Arabidopsis thaliana: one gene and its partner. The protein of the gene in region 2 interacts with the protein of the main gene of each other region in a pairwise test. Each region holds a gene or a part of one and is shown on either strand. Other genes may lie near its edges.

Region 1 (7,826 bases), on a different chromosome or scaffold from region 2:
TAAGATGCAGCAAAAACTTACACATTCAATACGGTAAATATTCTCATCAGGGAGGAGGACACGGGTATTATCGTAATACACAGCATCAAAAATCGTTTCAGGCCTTCTGGATTTCTCATAAAAATAAAGCTGAAGAAGCTTGTTGTCCATCTCATCAGCTACTACTACTTGTAGCTGAAGAATGACCACACGTATGTTAGTAAAAAGCAAGTAAAGATAGAGAGGTGAATACATAGAGAAAACATCAAAGAGCAAAAATACTCACATGCTTGATGAATTTATGGATCAGTTTGTCCAATGTGAAGAGAATATAAGACTGAGTCCCGATTATCGCTCGGCAGTCATCTTCAAACTTGGCATTATCAGATGTACCATCAAGTAAGTTGTAGAGTGCAGTCATGAATCTGTTCCACATTAATTAAAGTTATAAGTATGGAGCACATATGAATCCCAGAAACACACACAATCTCTGCAATAAAAAGCAAATTTCACCTAGCATAGGAATCAGTAGGATTTTTGGTATTTGAGGTCCTCCACTTTCCTTCCGGGGATGATGAGTTAACTTTTGCTGATAGTATTCTCTCATACAATATCTGTCAAGAGTAATAGCGTAAAGTTAGCTAGTGAAAACTCTTTGTACTTTAGATTATACTGTTTATAATTTTTTCAAACTGTATATGATCTTTAGCTCTTACCCGGTGCAGCCTGAAAAGCACGTAAAACGAATCATTTCCATAGAAAACTTGGGAGTTCTTCAGAGAGTCTTTGTCCTTGTCATGCAAAGCTATAGCTGAAGGAACATACTTTACTAAGGGCTTTACATGCAGCAAGAATCGTGCTGAAACGGGTAAGGCAGACCCATTTTCTTCAGCATCATGTGCATCAGCCATACATTCAGCCTCACCTTCGCTTTCTCCTTTGTTATTGTTATCCAAATCATCCTCCGGATCTTCACCACCACCAGATTCCGTTCCAGAAACATCACCGTTCTCATATTCATTTCTGCTGTCCTCTGATGATCTTGCGGCGTTTTCGTCACCTTCAGCGTCATTCTCAGCCCTTGTCTCCAGACAAGATGGTTCCCCTTCTCTACTTCTATCTCCGCTAATGTTATTTCCAGTACTATCATTCGCTTTGCTGAAGGTCTCAAAATCAGTTTTTGCATAAACTGCAAAATTATCTTCCTCAAAGTCTCCATTTGGAGAAAGTTCACCTTCTTCTCTTTCAACTTTGGATGTTCCTGCCATCTCTTGGTCACTTGTTATTTCTACCGCGATCCCATTTGTCAATAACTTCTTGTTACCAACCTGTGAGACAAAGTTTATCAGTACCACCTCTTGGTTAACACAGAACTAAGGGTGTGTAACTTCAAATTTTAAAACTATCTAAGTTCCATATGAAGGACCTAAGCACCAAGTGCAAACAATGGGAGATATTGTTCCATATCAACAAAATTCGGTCCTTCATTTGAAATGAGTCATCTATATAGAAAGTATCAGATCAAAATATAAGATGATGGGACTAAAACGTGCTTCACTGAAACTATACCTCTAATTTTGGCCCATTACCATCATTCATTTTCAACTCCAACTCTGTTCCACAGGTCACAGGCTTCAGATTATTATTGCAATGTCCTGACCAAGTAAAGAGGAAACTATTCATTAACTGTACAAAGAAAATGAAAAATTCCAAGAGAACTAACTTCTAAGCAAGATTTTGAGGTGTTACCGGTCATGTGTACTATACTGCTTCCTCCATTACTTTGATCTAATAATCCATCCACAGCGAGAGCAGTTGAATCGTGTGCACGCTCAATAGAAACAGCTTGCTTGCTTTCAGGCTTTTCATCAGACGTAACTACATTCTTCAGCATTTTCTCATGCTGAGCAGTCTCACATAAGGCATCTGATGTCCTACCAGCGGCGCCATCCCTCTCCGAATTACTAGTTTGCCCCAACTGACTATGTTCATTAGCTTTTCGAGATGACTTTGAGCGTCTAGAGTCGGCAACACTAGCGTAATTGTGAGGACTTCCCTCACTCTCGCCAGCACTTGAACTACCGCTCTTTACATTCTGGTTCATGGACTTGACAACGTCTTCTTGGTCTTCAGCACCTTGAGGGCGAGAAGGAACACCAAATATTTGTTCCACGAAAGTTGTCCAAATCTTCATTACCTTATCTAACTGTTCGGTAGAGCACATTTCTGCACACGAATATTTGATCAGCTGGTAAAGATCTTCATGAAGGTCATGATCCGGATAATCAAACTCCAAATCTGGGGAAATGGATAGTCTATTTCCGGCTGCAAATGCAAGAAGTGAATCATCCTCTCGCTTCTTTTCAGTAATCTCTTTTATCTCTGCCAACAATGCTACAGAAAAAATATAGTACATAAAGTCACTTGCTTGATATAATAGAATAATGTGTGTAATAGGTTACGGACAAACCTTTCATGCTCAGCTTCTTTGAATCCTGCTGTTTGAAGTAGAAACTTCGATGATCAAGCGACTTGTAGTAATTCTTAGCATATATCTCAGCCCAGACTTTGTCAAAATCAGAACGACACCTTGCCCACTCTTCTTGCTTCTGTTTCAAACGTGTTAGGATAACAGGTAAAGCAAGAGACACGTTCTTCTTCAGCACATCCATCACATCGAGCCCGTGATCACCATACAACCGTTCTATGCATCTTAAGTTTAGAGCTACAAAGACAGTAACAAAGCAATCCATTAAAAAAAAAAAAAAATTTAAAGAGCTCAGCTGCTAGTGATTTAACATCCATGCTGCTTATTGTTTTACACCAGCTTATGTTACCTGTGAGGTGATCCTCGACACGGATGGGACTGTTGGTTTTCAGTTCATTACTGTTAATTTTTGTCAATAATTCTTCCACATGCTTTGTCGTTGAATTTACAGACTCTAATAGCATGTCCAGCTCAAACCTATAGCATAAAGAGAGGAATAATGGCTCACAATTTGACACAGAAAATGGCTCACAATAACAGGTCAGTAACCAATTTTTTTTTTTAAAGTATGGAATATAGGTTTCCAGTCCACCATTAGAAGTTGATTAACCAACCTGTCATCCTCACATTTGAAGAGGCTCTCTTCATACTGGTTCTTACGCATGTGGCTAAATGAATAATCTTCACTTCCTGATGTGACGGAGACCCAGTGATCATTAAGAACCAGTTTACCGATCTCTGTCTTCTGGCTTGCAATAGAAATTGGGTACTGCAAAAAGTATAATGTCTTACATTAGACTAATGAAACAAAAGATGAACTCAAGAATAGTAGATCCACATATAAAAGGCTGCAGCCACATACATTCTTTGGAAGTAACCGATAACTAGGAGTGCATTGTTCACAGTTCGAGAGATCTAGTTCACTGATTGGCTTTGCCCATTTCAGATTTGCAGCTGCTTTTTCAAGCCTTTCCTTTTCATGATCTCTATCTCTAAGCCCGTCATCTCTCTTATGTTCCTGGTCTCTATCATTGTCCAGTGACGGTTGAGGATATTTGCCTTCACTCCACAAGGATTCTGCAGTATAGTTTAGAATGGATTTGTTTTCTTTTCAGAACTAGAAATGGATATATCTGGAAAGAAGATCAAATTTCATAGTGGAGTTGTGTAGTTTCACTACTCGTGAATACTTCAAATATATCTCAGCATCAGATTCATGTACCCTTGCAAAAGATAAGTAGACTTACTCTTAGTCAGAATACCAGAGAGCAGTCCTTCTGCAAGAAGATTCAAAAGGTTACAAATCTGTCTTTTTTCTGAAATCAATGAATGTAGGAAGAGAGAAACATAGATTTGCCTCGTTACCATTCTTTTCACATTGCACCAAAAACTCTATAAAGGAATCCATGAGGTCAGGATATACTCCGATTAAATTCCCTACCTGATACAAGCACAAATGTTCATGAATCATTGCAAACAAATGCCACAGTGAAAATTTAAGCATTTTATTTATTCATACCAAAGATTGCAGTTCTGGTCGGCTGATTATCTCTTTTGAAAAGAGATTAAGACAACGTAAAAACTCCTGGTACTCTGAGGCGTTAAGCTTTTCCTTTACTCTATCGACAATAGCTAGATCTTGACTGTAACCTGACATCACATCAAACAAATATAAGTACACATGGAATAGCGAACGACAAACTCACTCCTTATCTTTCAAATTAGTTGTCATAAAACGAGAACTCACTTTTCATGGCACCTTTTTCATCATAAGTAGATGAACTAGGAACCGCTCCAGAAAGTTTACTTTGATTGGAAATTTCAGCAGGATCATCGCCTCTAATATGTAGTTTCTGCTTCTTGTTGAGAAATTGCTCTTTTTTGCTATGTGGTTCGAAATCTCTGGCATCCCTATGCTCATTTTCTTTGTTAGTACCTCTCATGTGTTCTTTATTTTCTTTCTTAATAGGTCTCTCCCGGTCCTGGTCAATATGTTCAGTACCATAGTCATGGTCAGGATGTGGAGTAATGATCCGGTCCTTCTGCAACAATTTCCAATCAAATGATGTTCAATAAAAGATTAGACATATAGAACATTGTATTTCTAGGAAAATAAAAGTCTGAGAAGAACCTTATCAGCCAGAGAAACCCCTCTCTCACGAACTGAAGTTTTAACAGATGGAATAGAGGCCGTTGCTGAAGTATCAGGTAGAAAGTGAGTAAACTCCACGAGCAGATCTGAATGATCCCGAAATAGGATCGCAACCTGAGATAGACATGTAAAACCTAAGTACAGAATAGCAACAAAAAAAAGATACACATAACAGCATCAATGAGCCTACCTCCTGGTAGACCTCAGTGATGGACTTGCTATCCCTTCTGTACATGTTTAAAATGTCTAAAAATGATTTGTATACACGATCATCTCCCTGAAACCTTGTCTGCAAATCAATGAATATCGAAGAGAGTAAGAAAGGGAAAAGCAGTAATTTCCTTGAGACAGTTTAGCACATAAACATATATATACCTTAATCTTGTTAACAAAGCTAATAGCTTCCTCAAACTCAACACGTTTCTTCAGTGGAGGTTGTCCATCCTCAGGTTGAAGTGTGATCTCAAAACCCTTAGGCAAGAAAGTATTAAACCCCAAAATCAACTCTTGGTGTCCTTTGAAAAGTTCTTTTACCCTAGTTATCACACCAGCTGTATCAACTCTACAATGAAAAACACAATTAAGCAATCAGTTCTCAGATACCAAGTTTTTAACCTAAACATAACAAGGAGAAGAAAAAAACTATACCTTTGAGATTTAAAATTCTTCATAACCTCGAGAAACTCGTCATATTTTCCACGTTGATCCTGAAATTTGTCCTTCACGGCTTTAAGATATGCAAGAGCGTCGTTTGTAGTTAGCTTCTGAGCACTTCCTCCTCCAACCATGGTGTTTGAAGTTGAACAGAGCTTCATTACCATTAAAAAAAACAGATCATTTAGAAAGCTATTCAACATCTCATAAGACCAAAGAACGTTTCTTTAGAGAATTCAAGTAAAATTTGGGATTCAGCAAAAGAACAAAAGCTGAAAACAACTTTCTTCATGTTCATCTACAAATCAAAACCTAGTAAAACTCAAAATCAATCACATAAACAAGGAAAATTCAAAGAACCGAACTTGAATTTCATCCCAATAAGCAACACCTGTAGATCTAGCAGCTACAGAAACAATTTATGAAGAAAAAACAAAAGGAGACGGACCAGAAAAAATCGATCTTAACTTAATCCTCAGATTATTTCACATTCAGTTCACGATTAAAATTGTAATACCCAAAAATCAAACAGAAAGGATAAAAAACGAAAGAAGATCATCATCGTTTATGTGTTAGAGAGTTTACCGAAGAAATTCAGAGAAGACGAAGAAGAAGAAGAAGAAGAAGTCTAGAAGAAGAAGCTTCCTCCGACGAAACAGCTGAGAAGACAAAAACTATTCAACAATTTTCAGACAGAAAGAAAAGACTCACTGAGCAAACGAGAGTTTTATGTTTTTATGAAGAAAGGATTGAGATTTCTCTCAAAGGAGTTTTACGTCTTCTTAAGTAAATTAAAATCTACATATTTAATACACTTTCTCGTTCGCTAAATTTTTCGTTTACTTACTTATTTCATTTTTCTGTTGACAAAAAATAAAATAAAAATCAAAGTTGTATTTTCTTGTTTTTATTACTTCCTTTTGTTGGTTGTATCATTTTAGGAGACTTATAATTTATCTTCTTCTTTTATTATTTTTAACATTTTTTTTCTTTTGGAAGTTTTTATCTCCTTTGGTATGTGAGAGAGACATACTTAATTTTGAAAATTTTTGATATAAAATAAATTATTCATTTTTTTTGGAAATAATTTTGTAATTAAAAAGTTTTAGATGATTAATCATATTATTAATAGATGTTTTTTTTCTCTTTATTTTGGTCAACATAGATGTTTTTTCTTAAAATTTCTAAGTTAATTACTTAATGCAAAACCTATCAAAATTATTAATGGGGAAAAAATGTTCTAAAATCATTGATGTAAATGGAATCTATATTACATTACACGGTTAGATTTTGCTTAAATCTAAAAAATAATATTTGGCTAACATTAATAGAAGAATAATTTAACTCTAACTTGATTAAAACCATAAAAACGGAACATATTATTCGCCTTTTAAATTCATTTTTTTTTTATCGGCATTACTATCTTTCCGGTAGACCGAAAACTTTGTCACCTTGTTCGTAGAATAATTCCGATAACCCTTATCCTCATGTTACACATAGTAAACTCATAGGTAAGCATTGAAATAACTAGGTAAAAAAAAAAGCATTGAATAACTATAGATGATGGTAATTTTGAATTTTGATAGTGGCTATAATTTATAGGGAAAAGAAAGCTATTAATCATGCATATTAAAAAGAAAAAACCTCTACTATTATCTCTGACTTGTAACTTTAAAAAAAAAAAACTACTTATATGTGAAGCGATTGAAGTAACATAGCAATCCTTTCGTCACAAAAAACTCTGAGAAATAGTTGGCAGAAAGCAATCCAACTCTTCAAGCAAATCAGGATGATCTATGCAAAACTGTGAATGCAACAAGGCTGTTGCTGGAGTAGCTGGAGTAGCAGGCAGAAAGTGAGTAAACTCCACAAGCAAATTGTTATGATCTAGAAATAGGATGGCAACCTGATAAGATAAACGTGTGAAACTAAGTAAAATATTAGCAATAAAAAAAAAAAAACTTAGTATGAATCAATGAGCCTACCTCCCGGTAGACCGCGGTGATGGGCTTCCTATCCTTTCTGTACATGTTTAAAATGTCTAAAACTGATTTGTATACACGATCATCGCCCTGAAACCTTGTCTGCAAATGAATGAATAACTAAGAGAGTAGGAAAGGGAAAAGCAGTAATTTCCTTGGACAGTTTATAACACATAAACATATATACCTTAATCTTGTTAATAAAACTAATTGCTTCCCCTAACTCGACAGGTTTCTTCTGTGAAGGTTGTTCATGATGTGTGATCATATAACCATTTGGTAAGAAGGCATTGAAACCCAAAAGTAATCCTTGTTGTTCTTTCAAGAGTTCTTTCATCCTTATTATAACACCAGATATATCAATTCTATACAACACAATAGTCGGTAATCAGTTCTCAGAAACCATGGAGTTTTACCTAAACCAAGACCAAATGCAAACATAAAAGTAGAAAGAACTTTAACCTCTGAGTTTTATAATCTATCATGATCTGAAGAAACTCGTCATATTTTTCACGTTGACCTTGAAATTTAGCCTTCACGGCTCTAAGGTATTTAAGCGCGTCATTTGTAG
Region 2 (4,601 bases):
AATTAATTTAAATGAGTTTTCCAGGCGTCTATTATAACTTCAAAGTCTCGTTTTCCGACAATTAATATATTGTGTGATTAAGATGAAAATAAGACAACTACGACGACAAGCTAGCCAAACTCTTTTGGAAGCGAATAAAACAAGACTAGCTATTTGTGAACTTATTATTTTCTTCTTAGACTGATGATTTTACAATTGTAACAATGCACTCCTATTTAGACCAGTGATTGGCTGATGGCCAGGTTATTTTGTATAATACTCTCTAACCTTTCTCCATTTGTCTAGTTAACCTTTAGCCATTTGCCTTGTTAATTGCTCATACACTTCTTTTTCTCCTTAGTTCAAGTGTAATGTCCAAGCCATTCATTATCCATTGTCTTGTTAATGAATCCATTTGTCTCAACAGTTTTTTATATTAATTTTCTCCTTAATTCTAGAATTATCTTCAATAACTAAAGATTAGACCAAGTTGTTCTCATTTAATAGCAATGTAGAATCATTTGGAGAGAAACTATCATTTCAAAGCCGAACAACCGAATTCTCGAAAGGTTGTAAAAGTAAAAAGTAACATTGTGGATTAATCTCAACTCCAGAATAATAGAAGATTATTAAGAGTACGAACCGAAACAGGAAAAGCGACTTGAGATCAGTTGTCTTAAATCGTTACAGTGAAAATAACAAGACATTGCTTTTGACTTCCACTTTAAGTTAAGAAGAAGCCTACCCCAAAACGGTAAAAAAATACTCGGTTTTTGCTTCAGACACAAAGATTCACTGTCTGAATCCGTGGCATAGAAGCAAAGTAGATACCAAAATTGGGAAAACTCTCTACCAGCAAATTCAAATCAAAAAGGTCAAACACACAACGAATTCTGCCACCTCAACCCACAGCTCTTAAAGATCAAAACAATCATCTCAGCCACCAAACTTTAACCTAAAGATTTGGCCTGTGCTCATTGAGCTTTATCGATCACAACAAAACCACTCACCGCCCATTGACCATGCCCTTAATCTCTATGTTCTTCACCATCCAAAATATTCATTGGGTACACAAAAGGGAAAGCCTTTCTTGTCTCCTCGCTGATGAATGAAAACTTGAGGCTTAACAATGACAATGAGTATTCTAACTTCCTCTTCGAATCACCCAATTAGATAGCAAAGGAGCTTCACCGTCTTTCTTCCTTTCATCTTTTTATTGCTTCCATCTCAGAGAACCACTAAGCTTTACTTGTTGAATAGAAGAAACCCTGAATTGATCAAGATCAAGCCAAGAGACAAAACACAAACAAATACTTGTGCCCTGTGTGGTTCTGTTACATACTATGTAAATGCAGCTTCCTACTTACATCAGGGGACACTCTATGAATAAGTAGAAATCTAAAGATAATGGATTTGAATCATTCAGAAATCATCACCAGCTTCAGAATGTTATATATATGTAACAAAGGGTTGTTGGATCTTTTATAAGAAGAAACAGATAAAAATGAAACCCAGATCTGGTTCTTACAGTAACAGATCTTAACACAATCTCTCTCTCTTTTTAATCGTCATCATCTTCGTTGATGATAAAATCATCACGCTCAATCTTTTTTTTTTGTTCTTCCTTTTTTTCTCTTTCAATATGATATCAAAGGAAAATGGAAAAACAAAAGAGCATAAAGTTATCATTTTGTAAAATTTGAGAATTTTTTTTGTGTGTAATCAACGGATTTTTTTTGTAAAGCAGCAAATCAGAGACGTAGATCGGTACAGTGGAGATCATCTATCCCGCCAGCGAATAAGTCAACGCCATCCAACGGCGGGAAATTAAGATCAAACTGAAACGGCGTTTTCCGGCGGGAAGACGAAGATGCGATATCATCTCCGTCGTCAATAACAGACGACGAAGAATCGCAGTCGCTATGACAATCCTCCGGAGCTACCGGTGGAGTTCTCGGATATCTCTTAATCGCATGTAACGGTTTCGCCACCGACGAAGACGCCGCCGCGGCTTCCATCGGTCTCGGTCCGCTACAAGATTTAACGGTGCTGCTCATGCTGCTACTCGCCGGCCGACTAATAATCTGCTGCTGCTGCTGCTCCTGGAAATTACCTCCGCCGTATAACCGATGGTCCATAAACGGATCGATCTGGTTCTGAATCACCGGAGGAGAACAGAGGTTTTGATTGTGGAGGTAGGTGAGAGGTTGGAGAGGAGAAGAAGGAGAACAATCGATCGGGAAATTGGTCTTGGCCTTTGGACCACGGAGGTTACGTGCGGCGGTATCGTAAGCGCGTGCAGCATCTACGGCGGAATCGAAAGTACCGAGCCAGACACGAGATTTTTTTAATGGATCACGGATCTCAGCTGCGAATCGACCCCAAGGTCTCTTCCTAACGCCTCTATACCTCGGCTCCTTCACAGATCCACCGGCGGTTACTGGAAGGGCGGGTCCAACGACGGAAGAGCCTCTCCCTTTCCTCATGGAGAAGAAAAAAGATGTAAAGCCAGAAGTAATGTGATGAAGAAGAGATCTGTGTGTGTTTGTGTGAAGAAGAGAAGAAAATGTTGAAGAGAGAAGAAAGATGAGGAAGAAGATGAAGGAACAAAGGGTAGAGATTGGAAATTATTATTATAATTCTCTTTTTTTTTTTCTAAATAATTTACTCAAAGAATTTTCATTTAATAAATTAATTAAAATAATAATTTATGGTTGGAATAGCTTTTTCTTTTCTTTTTTTTTTTGGTTGTTAATTTCGATTTTTTCTCTACCTTCACGCCCGACCCACAAGACCGACCAATTCGTTTCTTTAAAAATTTAATTATGGAGTAACATTTTTCCTAACTTGGATTCTTTTTTTCTTTTGCTTTAAACTTTTTATTCGATATATTGTGTGGAGAAAAAAAAACAAAAAATTAAAAAAGAGTTCACAAGAGATGTCTCGAAATGCGAAGAAAGTAAAAGAGGGTAAGCACTTGCACTCTCTGTCCTGACCCTGACCACAATCTATATAATAAAATCTTATGTCTTACTGTTTGTTTGTTATCAAATTGATGCACCTAGAGACCAAATAGTCCACTTGTAATGACCAAAAACACCCTCCAGATTTTATTTTATTTTATTTAATAATACACCCCTCTTCGAAATTATTATTAGTTTCTTCTCCTTCCTTTGGGACCCTACAAGAGACGAGACGCGCTTATCGGCATCGTCGTCGTCTCCCGTGTTAAAAGTAAATGCCGTGTTGAGGATACGCATTAATGTGGAGAAACAAACATTTTTGTTCTTATAAAAACTGAATTATGTCTCTCCATTAAACCCCAATCTCAGAACACAAAACGAAAACAAAAATAACTCTAAAGAAGAAACAACACATTTTTCGAATTTTTAAAACTTGCTTACCATAAAATTCTGGATTTTATTTATCCAGTCTAAAATCTACAGGCTGATCATAGTAGCCTGCTTAGGGATTTGATGAGTAGTTTAAGGTTTTTTCTTGTGGCTTCATCTCCTGTGAATCCCAGAATATCTGAGCTTATACTCTACAATCAAGAAAATCAAAAACCAAGTCTTTGTTAACATTGTTTCTTCCAACTTGTCAAAGCTGGTATTGATAGAATAAGAAGAAAAAAAAGTTTACCTCGACGTTCTTCAAAGTATAAACCAGAGTGTAGATTGACTTCTGTATGAGTTCTGTATTCTCAGGAGTCATAATTGACGAATTAACCTTTCTGCAATGTAACCAAAATGAAAATTATATTTTTGCTGTCTACTGCAAGAATATAGGTTCTCATAATCACAGTTATCACTCAGTTGATCATACGTATGTAAGTAAACGAGCTTTTGCATATATGTGGTCCAGGAACATACATTAAGTGACAGAAACAGTAGGCTAGCAGAAGATAAGTAGAGGCAACACAAGATAAATTATTGAAATTTTAAGACAATAGAGGAAAGATTGAAAAGCACTGATGAGCAAAGCAGTTAATTTAACATGGAACCCATAAGATAAGACACATTTATGCATAGATATGTATGTGTTTTAACTTTTTAACCATCATCTCTTGTTCAGAAACTTAATCCACAAATAGAGTGTTGAAGCCACATACGAGAAATTGAAGCTAGTGTGCTTATATCTATCGTAAGGTCTGCTTTCATCATGATGCAGAAAGAGTTTTGCATTTGCACTATGGAATTCAAAATATTCATAATGATATACAGTCGATATGCCAAGATTGTTCCACTAAGAGCTATTACCTCAAATCGTCAGAAGCTTGGGTAAGGCTTCGAGTAAGACACTCAACTTCCTTGAGCAAGCCGCTATCACGAAACTCAGAGAGCAAAGGTTGAGCATCTTCAGCCATGGCTTGAATCTGTGACATCACTACATCAAAACCCAACGCATAAGCAGGAGAATACATTTTTTTCCAATCTTGAAATTCACCTATCGATTCTTTTTGAATACTGTAAACAAGATCTAAACAAAGACCACCAAAATTACTCATATCACCTTTTTGAGCAATGGCCTTGCTTCCTCAATAACCGAAGCAGCTCTCTCAGCAAGCGAATACGTATTGGCAACACCAATGGCCTCAACTTCGCGTCCAATACGAGTGAAAA

The links. The genes of interacting proteins can lie anywhere in the genome.
Region 1: the proteins of ERF7 (region 2) and SNL3 interact in a two-hybrid assay, tested with the Arabidopsis thaliana proteins (one study listed by BioGRID).

What each region holds. Positions count from the first base shown.
Region 1 is NC_003070.9:8,564,521-8,572,346, forward strand, and holds the start of SNL3 (SIN3-like 3), read right to left. Parts: upstream 6,017-7,826; 5' UTR 5,859-6,016; intron 5,429-5,858; 5' UTR 5,408-5,428; coding exon 5,268-5,407; intron 5,182-5,267; coding exon 4,995-5,181; intron 4,909-4,994; coding exon 4,810-4,908; intron 4,734-4,809; coding exon 4,599-4,733; intron 4,510-4,598; coding exon 4,215-4,509; intron 4,118-4,214; coding exon 3,987-4,117; intron 3,909-3,986; coding exon 3,833-3,908; intron 3,745-3,832; coding exon 3,715-3,744; coding exon of another isoform or gene 3,690-3,714; intron 3,545-3,689; coding exon 3,330-3,544; intron 3,237-3,329; coding exon 3,082-3,236; intron 2,945-3,081; coding exon 2,817-2,944; intron 2,705-2,816; coding exon 2,450-2,704; intron 2,374-2,449; coding exon 1,729-2,373; intron 1,635-1,728; coding exon 1,549-1,634; intron 1,308-1,548; coding exon 696-1,307; intron 594-695; coding exon 493-593; intron 405-492; coding exon 266-404; intron 175-265; coding exon 22-174; and 1 more. Other genes in the region: AT1G24200 (Paired amphipathic helix (PAH2) superfamily protein), read right to left, coding at 6,653-6,757, 7,111-7,179, 7,259-7,357, 7,443-7,620, 7,718-7,826. UniProt on the Arabidopsis thaliana protein: Acts as a transcriptional repressor. Interacts with ERF7 to repress genes in abscisic acid and drought stress responses. The heterodimer represses transcription by tethering SNL3 to DNA.
Region 2 is NC_003074.8:7,084,227-7,088,827, forward strand, and holds ERF7 (ethylene response factor 7), read right to left. Parts: upstream 2,669-4,601; 5' UTR 2,466-2,668; coding exon 1,731-2,465; 3' UTR 501-1,730; downstream 1-500. Other genes in the region: ABCI15 (trigalactosyldiacylglycerol2), read right to left, coding at 3,431-3,523, 3,622-3,712, 4,239-4,354, 4,492-4,601.